2 linked regions of the Xenopus tropicalis genome follow. The protein of the gene in region 2 purifies or fractionates together with the protein of the main gene of each other region. This does not show direct contact. Links are inferred from orthologs where the notes say so. Each region holds a gene or a part of one and is shown on either strand. Other genes may lie near its edges.

Region 1 (7,713 bases), about 120 Mb from region 2:
GCCCCTGCCATATGGACTGAGCCAGGCCAGGAGCAGTGCAAGCAGCTTACAGCCAACTCCTCATCACTTCCTTAGTTTTCGATTCTCTGAACAGTGTGGTATGTTGAGCTGGGCAGCCAATCAGAAGGCAGCCAGACAGCTCACCAGTTTGGGAGGTGGCCAATCAGAACGAGACAGCCTTATAGCATTTCCTGTGCTATCTAAAGAACGCAGAGCCGGCGTCAGCAGTCAGAGCAGAAAGTGTTCTCGGGCAGATATAGGGTTTCTGGCAAAGAGCTTTAAAAGGGGGACGGGGGGGGGGTAAGGAATTTTTTGGCAGTCAGTCAATTTATTTAACCTTGTTGCAATAAGCGAGGCATTCTGAGGCCAATTGTGTCGGCACATACTCCCTCCTGACAGTCATTCATTGTTACTTTCTTTATTGCCTTTCATAGTTAGGACAAAGCAAAAGGGCAGGAATACCATTGCAGCAGCGGCCCAGCTAAAGCATCCCCCGGTATTGTAGTTAACAAGGAATTGGAGAGATGCTCTGTGCACAGCTGTGCATTTACAATGTCATTTACTGGATAAGTAAAGAGAGAATGGACATGATAGAATACATATATAGTTAGGGCCACTGGGCCGTTTAGAATGGACAACAGAACCACGCTTAGAAGCAAAATGAGTTTTTAGGGTGAAGACACACGGAGCTACTAATAGCAGCTACTTGTCGTGGCTACTAAAAAATACAATGCTGATCATTTACTGATAACTGTCTCTACATGTGTTTTAGCAGAGGCAATTCTCAGTATTGTCTATGGCAGGGTATTTTGTGGCGTTTAGTAGCCTTGAAAAGTAGCTGCTACTAGTAGCCCTGAAAAGTAGCTGCTACTAGTAGCCCAGTGTGTCTTCACCCTTAGAGATCTACAGTCAACTCTTTAGTCATTTAAGAAACCACTCTCTTCTCTAGACTTTAACCATGGCTTGAGCGCTGGTGTAAGTAGGAGTTACTGGCATACCCCACAATCATTTTAGGGCTATCCTATATTGATTATCCTCCATTGGTCCCCATATACCTTCAGGGCCCACCAACAGTCAGAGGGTCTCCTTCCTCTAGTTACACCCTTACCTTGACATAAGTAAATGAGTATAAACCTTGCTGACAGTCTTCCTAATGCAAGCTCTACGCTGTACTTTACAGGGACTCCTTCTGCTTCCTGGTGTCACCAGTATAAGCGCCCCCCCCCCCCCCCCCTTTAGGAACCCTACTGGTCTTCCCTGCTTTGCGCTGTCTGTAATCTGTGCCAGAGCATTAAGTATGTAATCAGCCCTCCTGCACACAACATGCAGTGCCATGCCCACAAACTGCACTCTCTGTATGTAATAAGAGTTTAATATATGGGGCCCTACCACACAGGGAGAGTATGGCATCATGGGAGCTTGTGGACTTGACACAATACGTGGTACAAGAGGGCTTGCAGACTGAGGTTAAGTATTAAATGCCACTCTTCTCTCCTGAACTGCTGGGAACAAAAATCCTCTATATAGAATCCTCTTGCTTTAAAGGGGTTGTACACCTTTACATTAACTCTTAGCACGATGTAGAGAGTAATATTCCAAGACAATCTTCATTTTTTATGGTTTTTGAATTATTTAGCTCTTTATGTAGCAGCTCTCCAGCTCCTATCTAGTTGCTAGAGTCCAAATGACTCTAGCAACCAGCAATTGATGTGAATGAGACACTGGAATATGAACAGGACAGGGCCTGAATAGAAAGGTAGGTAATAAAAAGTAACCATAACAATAAAACTGTAGCCTCACAGCGCAATAGTTTTTGGATGCCGGGGTCAGTGACCCCCATTTGGAAGCTGGAAAGAGGCAGAATTCAAAAACTATAAGAAAAATTGAAGACCAATTGAAAAGTTGGTTAGAATTAGCCATGCTATGACATACTAAAAGTTTACTTAAAGGTGACCCACCCCTTTAATAGAGAGGCAGCTATAGCTAAAAAGCAGGCAAGAGTTGCCTAAAAGGCTATGGCCTATGCCGGTGCTACTGAACCTTAGTCAAAGGCAAAGCTCCATAAACCAATATGGACAAATGAATACTCACCAGCTGCAGTTCCACAACATGGAGGGACCCACCAAGCAGAGGAAAATATGGTAGCAATGACTTCCTCTGGAAACAGAGTCACATTCCTTTGGATCTGAAGTAAATTTAGGACCAAAGCAAGGAACACACCAACGGCAAAGAGTACGAGGCTTCTCCGGATAAGGCTCCGACCTTCGCTGCTGGCCAGGGTGTGGTAGGCAAGGCTGAGGAGAGAGTTTAAGGAGGACATGGCTTTTGCAGCTCTTTGGGCTAGCCAGGTGCTGAGCCTTGTACCCTTCTTGTCTCTTCCTCGGGTGCAAGAGCAACTCCAGCAGTGCTCCTCTAGTGTTTGCATTTGTTTACGGCTGTATGGAACTGCAGAAATGAAAGCAAAAGCAGAATATATTAGTTGAAAAGGATTTCCTGCTCTGCATGGCATTCAGTTCCTACCAATGAGCATAGAGGTCATCACCAAAGAGACCTACAGAATAGCACAAATTGCCTTTGTCTGACATTCATTTAAAAGGGAAATACAGCAACCCGTGGGCATAGTTTGGTAACACAGCTGACAGTTAAACTATCTGCCATAAGTGGTGTATTTCCCTTACAAATGAATGATAACCAAGGGTTGATTGCTCTCAGAGCACCACTGTATTCAAAATGCAAACTTTTCCATAAAATAAAAACAAGTATTACCACAGACACAATTTGACAAGGCCCCGTCCTCCATTGCCACCAGGAGGGTCGGAGATGAAAGGAGACACCTGATTGGCTGTTACAGACTACAAGAACTGGACAAAATGCAATGTACTTTCTGTGTGCCAGTAAGCCAACATCTGCACATTTTTTTGGACCACTCTGCTTCCCTTACTTTTCCATAAACATCAGCTGGCAGTCCCACGTCACATTCTCCAGCACAGAGCTGAACTGTAAAGCTGCACAGCATGCAATGGCAACTGCAAAGCTAACTTTAATGGCAAAAATGTCCATATTTCATCTAAATGCATATATAGTCAGAGTAGTGGCAAAAGCATTGGGAAATATAAATGCAGAATGATTATCTCAGACTGACTCTCTCTAAACAACAACACAATGAGTTACCAATAGTGCCTGCAGTATGGGCCAATGCCCAGCAATAAATCACCAACCAGGCCAGTGACTAGCAGCAGGGCACCAACATTAGTGGACCAGTGCTACGGTACATACTTTAGTGGGCTAATGTCTAGCAATATGGCAACATTTTAGGTGGCCCATTGTCAGTACAGCACCATCTTTAATGCCCTAGTATTCTTCATGACCTCAAACCTGCATTTAAAGAGCTAAGCTCACGTTTGGAGAAGCAGTGCCTAGGCCTGTGGCATTGGACCATAAGGGTGAAGACACACAGAGCTACTAGTAGCAGCTACTTGTCCTGGCTACTAAAAAAGACATTTACTGATAATTGTCTCTACCAGTGTTTTAGCAGAGGCAGTTCTCAGTACTGTCTATTGCAGTGTATTTTCTGGAGTTTAGTAGCCTTGAAAAAGTAGCTGCAATTAGTAGCCCAGTGTGTCTTCACCCTTAATGCAGTGCACTAGCATATGATATACAGCAATGATCCAGTAACCTGCACATCACAATAAATGCAGCAGTAACCGGATACACAGCAGCCAACTATGCTCAGGGCAATGGCACCAGGTTTACAGCAGCATTACCCATTGCCCCCAGCGGTATTACCCATTGCCCACAGCACCATTACCCATTGCCCCCAGCACCATTACCCATTGCCCACAGCACCATTACCCATTGCCCACAGCGGCATTACCCATTGCCCACAGCAGCATTACCCATTGCCCACAGCAGCATTACCCATTGCCCACAGCAGCATTACCCATTGCCCACAGCAGCATTACCCATTGCCCCCAGCACCATTACCCATTGCCCCCAGCACCATTACCCATTGCCCCCAGCACCATTACCCATTGCCCACAGCAGCATTACCCATTGCCCACAGCACCATTACCCATTGCCCACAGCAGCATTACCCATTGCCCACAGCAGCATTACCCATTGCCCACAGCAGCATTACCCATTGCCCACAGCACCATTACCCATTGCCCACAGCAGCATTACCCATTGCCCCCAGCACCATTACCCATTGCCCCCAGCACCATTACCCATTGCCCCCAGCACCATTACCCATTGCCCCCAGCACCATTACCCATTGCCCACAGCAGCATTACCCATTGCCCACAGCACCATTACCCATTGCCCACAGCAGCATTACCCATTGCCCACAGCAGCATTACCCATTGCCCACAGCAGCATTACCCATTGCCCACAGCAGAACCAAATGGCAGCAGATACACAGCTGGCAGGAATGGCACCCCATTGCCCCCAACAGTGCCAAGATACCTGGCATGACATATCCCTTAGTCCCTGCTGGGTTGGCATCAGATACACAGTACCCACCATCCCAGTGGCACCATAGTGCCAGCAGTCCCTAGCGACCCCATTACAGTGCCAGTCCCTATGGCATCATATTCACTGCATTGCCCCTCAGCTCTCCTTACCCACAATGCTGTGCTCTCCCGGTATCCAAGCTGTGCTCACTCCCAAGCGGAACGCAGGATCTATGAGAGCGGATAAAGTTTCCACCTTTTAACCCCGGTATTAGGATTTCCTCCCCTGCCGCCTCCCGTAGCTCCTTGAATCTGACGAGATGAGTTGGAATGGCTCAGGTAGTGATACTGTTGTGGCAGCATCTCCCCGCCCACACGGCCAAACCTCGGCTCCTCCCCCTTTACCCCCGGTGACTCACATAAGAGCAGGATATGCCAACAGCTGTCCCGACCCCAACAACAACATGCGTGTCTGGTGAGCCGCCCCAGCCAATCAGCGGCGGCCTGCCCATATGACGTCGCGGCCGCACCACGCACACCCACCTTGCGCACTCCCGCGCCTGAGACACAAAATCAAAACAAGAGATGGGAACACGTGACTCGGCTGGGGGCGGGGGCGCGCACGTAGTCTGGCTGGGAGGCGGCGTGCTGCCATGGCCTGTGTGTGACTGACGGGCGGTACGTGTTGAATGGAACGTTCCAGGTGTGATGTCCCCTATCTGGTACTAGTGTAGTTATCCATTAGCCCGGGGCCTGATGGGTGGAAGGCAATGACTTACAGGACCTCGGCCTTTTGGGTCTTCCTCCTGTGGCTGAAAATAGCAGCGCTGTCCGGTTCTGTCAATATATAGACTGTGAGCAGCTCGGCTTCAAAGTGTCTCTGGGGGCAGTGACCTGACTAGCGTCTGACTGGCTCCCTGGGCTTCAGCTGCTTATGGCTCAGTGTCCCACTGGATCCCCTATACCAGGGATCCCCAACATTTCTGAGCTACACGAAGGGGCCCATTTATCAATGGACGATTGGTTACGAATAGAAAAAAATTGTATTTTATAATTTCCGCTACTTTTTGCGCTACAAAATCGTATTGTCGCAACGAGTACGAAAGTTTCGGAATCATTCAAGCTTTGGTATCGTGACTTTCCTTGGGCTTGGTTGGAGCTGCAGAGTGCCATTGAGCCCTATGGGAGACTTTCCTTGGGCCAGGTTGGAGCTGCAGAGTGCCATTGAGCCCTATGGGAGACTTTCCTTGGGCCGGGTTGGAGCTGCAGAGTGCCATTGAGCCCTATGGGAGACTTTCCTTGGGCCAGGTTGGAGCTGCAGAGTGCCATTGAGCCCTATGGGAGACTTTCCTTGGGTCCGGGTTGGAGCTGCAGAGTGCCATTGAGCCCTATGGGAGACTTTCCTTGGGCCGGGTTGGAGCTGCAGAGTGCCATTGAGCCCTATGGGAGACTTTCCTTGGGCCGGGTTGGAGCTGCAGAGTGCCATTGAGTCCTATGGGAGACATTCCTTGGGCCGGGTTGGAGCTGCAGAGTGCCATTGAGCCCTATGGGAGACTTTCCTTGGGCCGGGTTGGAGCTGCAGAGTGCCATTGAGCCCTATGGGAGACTTTCCTTGGGCCGGGTTGGAGCTGCAGAGCGCCATTGAGCCCTATGGGAGACTTTCCTTGGGCCGGGTTGGAGCTGCAGAGTGCCATTGAGCCCTATGGGAGACTTTCCTTGGGCCGGGTTGGAGCTGCAGAGTGCCATTGAGCCCTATGGGAGACTTTCCTTGGGCCGGGTTGGAGCTGCAGAGTGTCATTGAGCCCTATGGGAGACTTTCCTTGGGCCGGGTTGGAGCTGCAGAGTGCCATTGAGCCCTATGGGAGACTTTCCTTGGGCCGGGTTGGAGCTGCAGAGTGCCATTGAGCCCTATGGGTGACTTTCCTTGGGCCGGGTTGGAGCTGCAGAGTGCCATTGAGCCCTATGGGAGACTTTCCTTGGGCCGGGTTGGAGCTGCAGAGTGCCATTGAGCACTATGGGAGACTTTCCTTGGGCCGGGTTGGAGCTGCAGAGTGCCATTGAGCCCTATGGGAGACTTTCCTTGGGCCAGGTTGGAGCTGCAGAGTGCCATTGAGCCCTATGGGAGGCTTTCCTTGGGCCGGGTTGGAGCTGCAGAGTGCCATTGAGCCCTATGGGAGACTTTCCTTGGGCCGGGTTGGAGCTGCAGAGTGCCATTGAGCCCTATGGGAGACTTTCCTTGGGCCGGGTTGGAGCTGCAGAGTGCCATTGAGCCCTATGGGAGACTTTCCTTGGGCCGGGTTGGAGCTGCAGAGTGCCATTGAGCCCTATGGGAGACTTTCCTTGGGCCGGGTTGGAGCTGCAGAGTGCCATTGAGCCCTATGGGAGGCTTTCCTTGGGCCGGGTTGGAGCTGCAGAGTGCCATTGAGCCCTATGGGAGGCTTTCCTTGGGCCGGGTTGGAGCTGCAGAGTGCCAAAATTATGCACTGAAGGTTCAAAGTCAGAAAGGTTTTCCGTTTTTCCGTTTACGATTGTTTGGTTATGAAAATTTCATAACTTTCGGATCGCACCTCGATATTTTTGTACAAGCACGACGCGACTTTACGCAAAATTAACGTACATCAGAAATTTTCTTATTTAATGCAAATTTTCGCAAATTTTACTTGTAATTCGGACTTTATGAATCTGCCCCTAAGATGTAATAAGTGTTGGAGAGCCATACAAGCATGTAAAAAGTTCTTTGGGGATGCCTAATAAGGGCTGTTATTGGCTATTTGGTAGCCCCATGTAGACTGCTGGGCTGCAGGAGGACCTGCTTGGGGTAAAACTTGGTCTCTGGGCTTCCAAAACTTGTCTCCAAGTCAGAAATGTAAATATGGAAGCTACTTTGAGGCCACTGAGAGCAACATCCAAGGGGTTGGTTAGCAGCATGTTGCCCCCGAGCCACTGGTTGGGGGTCACTGCCCTAATCCATTGTGGGTGCGCTACAGTTGTCACTTTTTGTGGAAAAAAATACCAGACTTTTTAAAATTTTCTTTTCCCCCTATTAATAACATTGGCATGAAGAAACATGGCTCCCACTAGGACCTATTGCTGAAATGAGTAGGATTAGTGAATGCATAGGATGGAGGAGAATAATCTGATTGGGTGGGAAAGCCTTATAGTGGACTTGAATGTTTTTATCGAGTGCCTTTTCTATAACTTGAAATAAAACGATTTTACACTATTTGGGCACTGCCCCACTTTTCATATACTGCAGTAAATG
Region 2 (7,662 bases):
CTAATACACCCAGGCAAAAGCAGCACCCCACCAAAGGCTGTTTTAGACCTGTCACTCGAAATCATACTCCCACCTCCTGCATGGAGAGAGAATGAAAGGAGACAAATGCTGAGAGGGGAAGAGAAACTTGATTAATTCAGAAACAGTTCAAAATTTTTAATTGAACATATTACATTTTTTATTTCAGTATGATGAAGCTTATAGTTAATGTTTATATTAGTTCCCCTTTAAGTGTGTGTTTGGTTCATGACCTAACTGGGTAAAATGATTGATTTAGTCCTATAGGTTTTGTATTGGGGAAAGCTTCCATATTTACATAACATAGTGCATCAAATTTCCTAGCGTGAAAATAGTTTCTTCACTAATAAATATACTAATGTAATACACTTGTAAGGGAAATGGCAGCACGTATGCTATGCTTCCCCCAGCCTTGGTGTTTCACTGGCTGGTCGGCCAATCCCTGCTGAGGCCCAGGGCAGAGTTAAAGATTCACAGGCAATGATCAGCGCTTTCCTGTAAATGTATAATTCACTGTCCTACTCAGAGTTGCCAGATTTATTTTGCCAAACTAGCCAAAGTCAGTTCTAAAACCAGCCTAAAACTAGCCAAAAGCCATTTTGAAAGTAGCCCAAAAATAGTCCAATATGTGCAATGAAAAAAAATCTAAAAAAAATAAAAGTATATATGGGAAAACCTGCCTTTTAAAGTGTATAATCATTATCCATCCCCTGTGCCCCCTCTCCAGTTACTGGGATGGCTGATAATTCCCTCTGTGCCCAGTCCAGCTGGGAAGTCACTACAGAAATGGATTCAGAATGTTGCATTTACCCCAGACATGATATACATATGGGTGTGTTGAACTACAACTCTCAGCAGCCCCAAGATATCCTGAGAGATATAGCTTAAGGATCAACTGCAGAACTGCCCCCACATCCCAGTAGAAAGTAACAGTACAATCACATACCCTATAGAGCAGGGAGCAGGGGGTAGAACTGCCCCACATCCCAGTAGAAAGTAACAGTACAATCACATACCCTATAGAGCAGGGGGTAGAACTGCCCCCACATCCCAGTAGAAAGTAACAGTACAATCACATACCCTATAGAGCAGGGAGCAGGGGGTAGAACTGCCCCACATCCCAGTAGAAAGTAACAGTACAATCACATACCCTATAGAGCAGGGGGTAGAACTGCCCCCACATCCCAGTAGAAAGTAACAGTACAGTCACATACCCTATAGAGCAGGGAGCAGGGGGTAGAACTGCCCCACATCCCAGTAGAAAGTAACAGTACAATCACATACCCTATAGAGCAGGGGGGTAGAACTGCCCCACATCCCAGTAGAAAGTAACAATACAATCACATACCCTATAGAGCAGGGGGTAGAACTGCCCCACATCCCAGTAGAAAGTAATGGTACAATCACATACCCTATAGAGCAGGGAGCAGGGGGTAGAACTGCCCCACATCCCAGTAGAAAGTAACAGTACAATCACATACCCTATAGAGCAGGGAGCAGGGGGTAGGACTGCCCCACATCCCAGTAGAAAGTAACAGTACAATCACATACCCTATAGAGCAGGGGGTAGAACTGCCCCACATCCCAGTAGAAAGTAACAGTACAATCACATACCCTATAGAGCAGGGGGTAGAACTGCCCCACATCCCAGTAGAAAGTAACAGTACAATCACATACCCTATAGAGCAGGGAGCAGGGGGTAGAACTGCCCCACATCCCAGTAGAAAGTAACAATACAATCACATACCCTATAGAGCAGGGGGTAGAACTGCCCACATCCCAGTAGAAAGTAATGGTACAATCACATACCCTATAGAGCAGGAGCAGGGGGTAGAACTGCCCCACATCCCAGTAGAAAGTAACAGTACAATCACATACCCTATAGAGCAGGGAGCAGGGGGTAGAACTGCCCCACATCCCAGTAGAAAGTAACAGTACAATCACATACCCTATAGAGCAGGGAGCAGGGGTAGAACTGCCCCACATCCCAGTAGAAAGTAACAGTACAATCACATACCCTATAGAGCAGGGAGCAGGGGGTAGAACTGCCCCACATCCCAGTAGAAAGTAACAGTACAATCACATACCCTATAGAGCAGGGAGCAGGGGGTAGAACTGCCCCCACATCCCAGTAGAAAGTAACAGTACAATCACATACCCTATAGAGCAGGGAGCAGGGGGTAGAACTGCCCCACATCCCAGTAGAAAGTAACAGTACAATCACATACCCTATAGAGCAGGGAGCAGGGGGTAGAACTGCCCCACATCCCAGTAGAAAGTAACAATACAATCACATACCCTATAGAGCAGGGAGCAGGGGGTAGAACTGCCCCACATCCCAGTAGAAAGTAACAGTACAATCACATACCCTATAGAGCAGGGAGCAGAACAGACAGGTTGAGCAAAAAGGAGCCTCTGTCTATACTGTCCAATTGCATGCTGGGTATTGTAGTTTTATATTAATCTTACCTGTAGGCTAATAGTTGGAAACAAACTACATTACCCAGCATGCAGTGGAACAGACACACTAGAAGAAAAAATCTTTGGCTAATTTCCAAACTACAAATCTGCCAAGGCTCCAAAAAATAGCCCAAAACTTTACCTTGGCGGGTTTTTACTTTGGAAACCCACCAGGGCTTTAAATTAGTAGCCCAATTTGCCGGAAAACCCGCCAACCCTGCTGTAAATGTATAATTCACTGTGGCGACGATAGACAGGTCAGCGGAAGCAGAATTGAAAGTTTTGCGCAGGCGCATTCCCTCCAAGGACTCGCTTCCGCCCTGAGTTGGACGTCACCGGATGCAGCAATGGTGCCGTGACGCAGCCGCCCTCCTGTTGTGTGAGAGTCGGCCGCGGAAGGAGATGAGGGGGCAATTGGATTCCGGAGGGAAATAGCCCGAGGGGGCGGCGGAGCCCATGGAGTCCCCTCCGGTGGTGGTCGGGCAGCGGGTACGGGCCGTGCTGGATGTGGCCTTGCGGGTTCCCTCTCTCTTTATCACGGACGCCATCCTGAACTTGCCCCACGATGCCTCTGCCGGCTTCCTGTCACTGCTGCTGCAGCTGGCGCTCAGACTGCTGGGTAAGGACTCCGGGCCTGCACAGTAGGGTTAGCCTTGTGACTACTAGCCTGTCTGGCTACTGCCTTGTTCCCTGTGTGCCGGCCAGTGCCATACGGTACCTTCCCCCTGCCGGCTATACATAGGGGCCTGTGTGTTCTACATGTTCCCATTAGCCTCCTGATTGTTATTCTGAGAGGTTATATATCCGAGTCTGATGGGCTGCCCTTTATACATCGGCCGAGCCGCCATTGATCAGCTACAATCTCCCTGCACCCCACAGGCTGTAAGTGGGAGTTGTAGTTCAATGACAGAAGAGCTTTAGTTTGTGCGGCTTGATATACATTGTTACCCTACCATGTAGTTACACTGTGCAATAAATATCTGCTTTTTATACAGATTCTAAAGCTTTGCTAGTTCTGCACCCCCGTCTGCTACAGTCTGCCCCCCCCCAGCCCTGTATTGGTTTCTCCCTGTTTCACTACACTCTCTCCTTAGGGTGAAGACACACGGAGCTACTAGTAGCAGCTACTAAAACAGACAATGCTGATCATTTACTGATAACTGTCTCTACGTGTGTTTTAGCAGAGGCAATTCTCCGTATCTAGTAATCTGTGGGATTTTCTGGTGCTTGGTAGCCATAACAAGTAGCTGCTACTAAGTAGCTCTGTGTGTCTTCACCCTTAGCTTTGGCTGAGTCCTTAATCAGCTGTCTGACTCTTTAGGGCTGTGGCAGACGGCGAGATTAATCTCCCTGAAATGCCATCCCTCTGGCTAGACTGTAAATCACCGGTGGGATGGCATATGCGGCGATTGAGGCAACTTTGGCAAATCGCGGCGACGCGTAAGCCATCCCACCTGTGATTTACAGTCTAGCCAGTGGGATGGCATTCTGGGGAGATTTGTTGCAGGCGACTAATCTCCCCTGTGCCACAGCCCTTAGATTAATCCCCCCATTGATGTACAACATTTGTTTTTAGGGGCCTTCTTAAAGGTCACCATACACGGGCCGATTCTAGCTGCCGATATGGGTCCCTTGGACCGATTCGGCAGCTAATCGGCCCGTGTATGGGCACTACCGACGGGGCTGCCTGACCGATATCTGGCCTGAAATCGTGCAGATCTCGATCGGGCAGGTTAGAAAATCTAGTCGGATCGGGGACCGAATGGGCTCGTTGATGCGGTCCCCGGGCCATCTTTACCTATGCCCGTCATTATAATTCGATCATTTGGCCCCAGGGCCAACGATCGAATTATCCTGGATTCTCCCGATATCGCCCACCCGTAGGTGCCAATGTATGGGGACCTTTAGTAGTTACAGATAAAATAAATTTCAACACTATCAGCTATTTATCAACAGCTGCAAGGATAACTAGAATAGGTGGCCTTAAAGGAACAGTAACACCAAAAAATGAAAGTGTATAAAAGTAACTAAAATATAATGTGCTGCTGCCCTGCACTTGTAAAAGTTGTGTGTTTACTTCAGAAAGTCTACTATAATTTATATAAATAAGCTGCTGTGTAGCCATGGAGGCAGCCATTCAAAGGAGAAAAGGCACAGGCACATAGCAGATAACAGATAAAACATTATTGTATTCTACAGAACTTATCTGTTATCTGCTATGTAACCTGTGCCTTTTCTCCTTTTTTCCAGCTTGAATGGCTGCCCCCATGGCTACACAGCAGCTTATTATATAAATTATAGTAGTGTTACTGTAGCAAACACACCAGTTTTACCAGTGCAGGGCAACAGTGCATTATATTTGTATTACTTTAAAGCTCTTTCAATTTTTGGAGTTACTGTTCCTTTAAATATCACTTTAATTAACCTCCATTTTGGGCTTCTGTAAGTACAGTGAGACATTCTCCCCCAAATCTCCAACTAACTGACCTCTTGTCTGGCCCCAGTACCATTGGGGAGGGAGCGCTGTATAACACCAGGACTGACTAGTCACAGCTGGAGGGCTGCCAGGCTGCTTTGTGCAATCCATACCAGCCATTTATCCCTATTATCCCTGTCCCTGCTAGACCTGCCCTATGTGCAGTTATTATTCCCCTGGGCTTGTGCAGTGACAGTGCTGGGATTGCTGCGGCTTCTTTAAATGGAACTGACACCCCACTAAACTTGGTATTGGCATCTGTTCCTTTATATGTGATGTTTGTATTAATTAACCTTGTAATTATATGGTTAGTGCTTGGTGTATTCATGGCTGGTTAATATTCAAGCTCTCGGTTAAGGGCAGAGAGGCATTTGGGGTAAAGCAGCCTGTGTGGCCAATAGACATGGGATGAGCTGGAGTTGGGTCAGACTGGGGCTGGAACTCTGTCGCCCTGATTGGAAAGTATTGGTGAAACTGGCTGTAAGAGCCTGACCGGCTGGTATTGTGATTAAACCTGTATAAGTGCATAACAACCGAACATATTCGGCTTTGTGTGCCCAGCCCACAGGCAGCTGCCAGACCCGGGGTTCTGCTAGCGGGAGCTTCGCCAGTCTGGGCGGGGGAGTTTGCTTTGGCAGTCGGGCAAAGTTACAAAAAATATTCTGTAAATTGACATTTAAGAGTAATGGTTTTTTTTATTGATCAGCCCAAAAAACTAACTGCCATACGCCTGAAGCAACTGCTCCCCCATTGGCTTAATTGGGAATGATTTGAGGGGCTCTCGTGTTTGCGCTTGTCAGGGGAAGCGACATGTTTCATTGCACGTGGCAGTCTAGGGGGGTCGCTGTGACACAGCTCTGTGTGCTACTGTCACTCACAGTATAAGAGGCATGTCCCATACATGCCCCGCCCCATAATGAGATCACAAAAGGGGCGGGGAGTGACAGGGGTGCGCCTATAAATTCAGAAGCTGGGAGACACGGGCTGCACAACCCTAATTCATATAAAAGTCCCCAAGGATATCACCCACCCCCCATCTCATAGGCAATAATGGAACAATATATAATGTTGGTTTCACTTTGGACTAAAAATGACTATTATTCATAAAAATAGCCCCTTAATAGGAGCTCCCTATAGATCTGCTATGGTTCCTGTCCATGTTTCAAATGAGAGGTGGGCTTGTACTAACGGACCCTGCCAGAAGCACTGTAGGAGAGAGCCAATCACAGCCCTGCAATCACACAAGCAAAGATAGGTGTCAGTTCCCTATTGGGTCAGCCCAGCTGCAGGAAGTGGAACAGATGGGCGGGACTAGGGGTTTTTTTTGTTTTTTTTTATTTACACAACAAATCAGCTAAAGCAACTTTTTAAATCACATTCCTTTTATATTTAAAAGTGCATAATGCAGTGGCATATTCTTATTTTTATACACTGTGTCCCTTTAGATGAGACATTTGCTTATGGGTGTATAGCCGAGAGCATCAGGAACCTTCCTGGAGTTGCCTGGAAATGTATATTTAAACCCAATTAACCCGGGGCCCTACAGGTGCAACGCGGTGAGAGGCAAAGTTCATCTGCATCTAGTTTGCCCCAGTTTGCCCATGCCTTCCTGCAGCACATTCCTAGAAGTCGCACACACAATAGTGTGACTAACGCACATTCAGTGCATTCCTAGCGTGCTATTGCCACCATGGACTCCTGGCTGCCGGGGTGTGTTCCTTCCAGTAGGTGTTGGTGCCTAGATAGGGGTGTGCTGCACCACAGTCCCGCCTCACTAACACCCATTTCATAGAAATCTTCTTTAAGGCCAGCCCTCTTCCCAGTGAGATGTTCATGAGTCAGAAATCTGAGTATGTTGCGCTTTTTCCCTTAAGAGAAAATGGTAGAAAGAATGTGAGGCAGTTAATGGGTTACTGATTACAGTGATGCAAGGATTCAACCCTCATTGTAATCAGTCAGTCATTACAGGAATCACCTCATTGGCTTCCACTCATCTACTAACTTTTGATTGGTAGCAGAGCGGCATCTTACTGTTTAAAGGAGAAGTAACACCAAAAAATGGTCTGTCCCCCCTGGCTACACAGCAGCTGATTTATATAAACTATAGTAGACTTTCTCAAGGAGACTTCGGCCAATCGCGGCACTGCGTATGCCATCCCACAGGCGATTTACATTCTACCCGCTGGGATGGCATTGTGGGGAGGTTAGTTGCGACTAATCTCCCCGTGTGTCACGGCCCTAAGGGTGAAGACACACTGAGCAACTAGTAGCAGCTACTTTTTCACGGCTACTAAATTCCAGAAAATCCCCTGCTATATACAATACTGAGAATTGCTTCTGCTAAAACACATGTAGAGACAGTTATCAGTAAATCATCAGCATTGTCTATTTTAGTAGCCACGACAAGTAGCTGCTACTAGTAGCTCTGTGTGTCTTCACCCTTAACAGTGCAAAGAACAGTACATTATATTGTAATGTTAATTTTTTGATGTTACTTGTCCTTTAGAAGCAAACTGACATATAGCTGGGGGATTTGTTATATTGATTCAAAGGTTGGAGCCACAAAAAAACAAGTACAATTTGTTCCTTGTTATTGATGCCTGAATTACTGCTATGGGATCCGTTCTGTAATTTGGATCAACAGACCTTAAGCCCAATAAATATCATTTAAATATGAAATATACCTAATAGTAATTGCTTAGCCATCA

The links. The genes of interacting proteins can lie anywhere in the genome.
Region 1: the proteins of rnf139 (region 2) and insig1 purify together in Homo sapiens (affinity purification with western blotting, with the first as the bait; 3 studies listed by BioGRID). This does not show direct contact. The link is inferred for Xenopus tropicalis from reciprocal best matches to the Homo sapiens genes RNF139 and INSIG1.

Annotation. Positions count from the first base shown.
Region 1 is NC_030682.2:16,632,900-16,640,612, reverse strand, and holds the start of insig1 (insulin-induced gene 1 protein), read right to left. Parts: upstream 4,706-7,713; 5' UTR 4,623-4,705; intron 2,449-4,622; exon of another isoform or gene 2,446-2,448; 5' UTR 2,426-2,445; coding exon 2,092-2,425; intron 1-2,091. UniProt on the Homo sapiens protein: Oxysterol-binding protein that mediates feedback control of cholesterol synthesis by controlling both endoplasmic reticulum to Golgi transport of SCAP and degradation of HMGCR.
Region 2 is NC_030682.2:140,382,040-140,389,701, reverse strand, and holds the start of rnf139 (E3 ubiquitin-protein ligase RNF139), read left to right. Parts: upstream 1-2,869; 5' UTR 2,870-2,934; coding exon 2,935-3,097; intron 3,098-7,662. UniProt on the Homo sapiens protein: E3-ubiquitin ligase; acts as a negative regulator of cell proliferation through mechanisms involving G2/M arrest and cell death.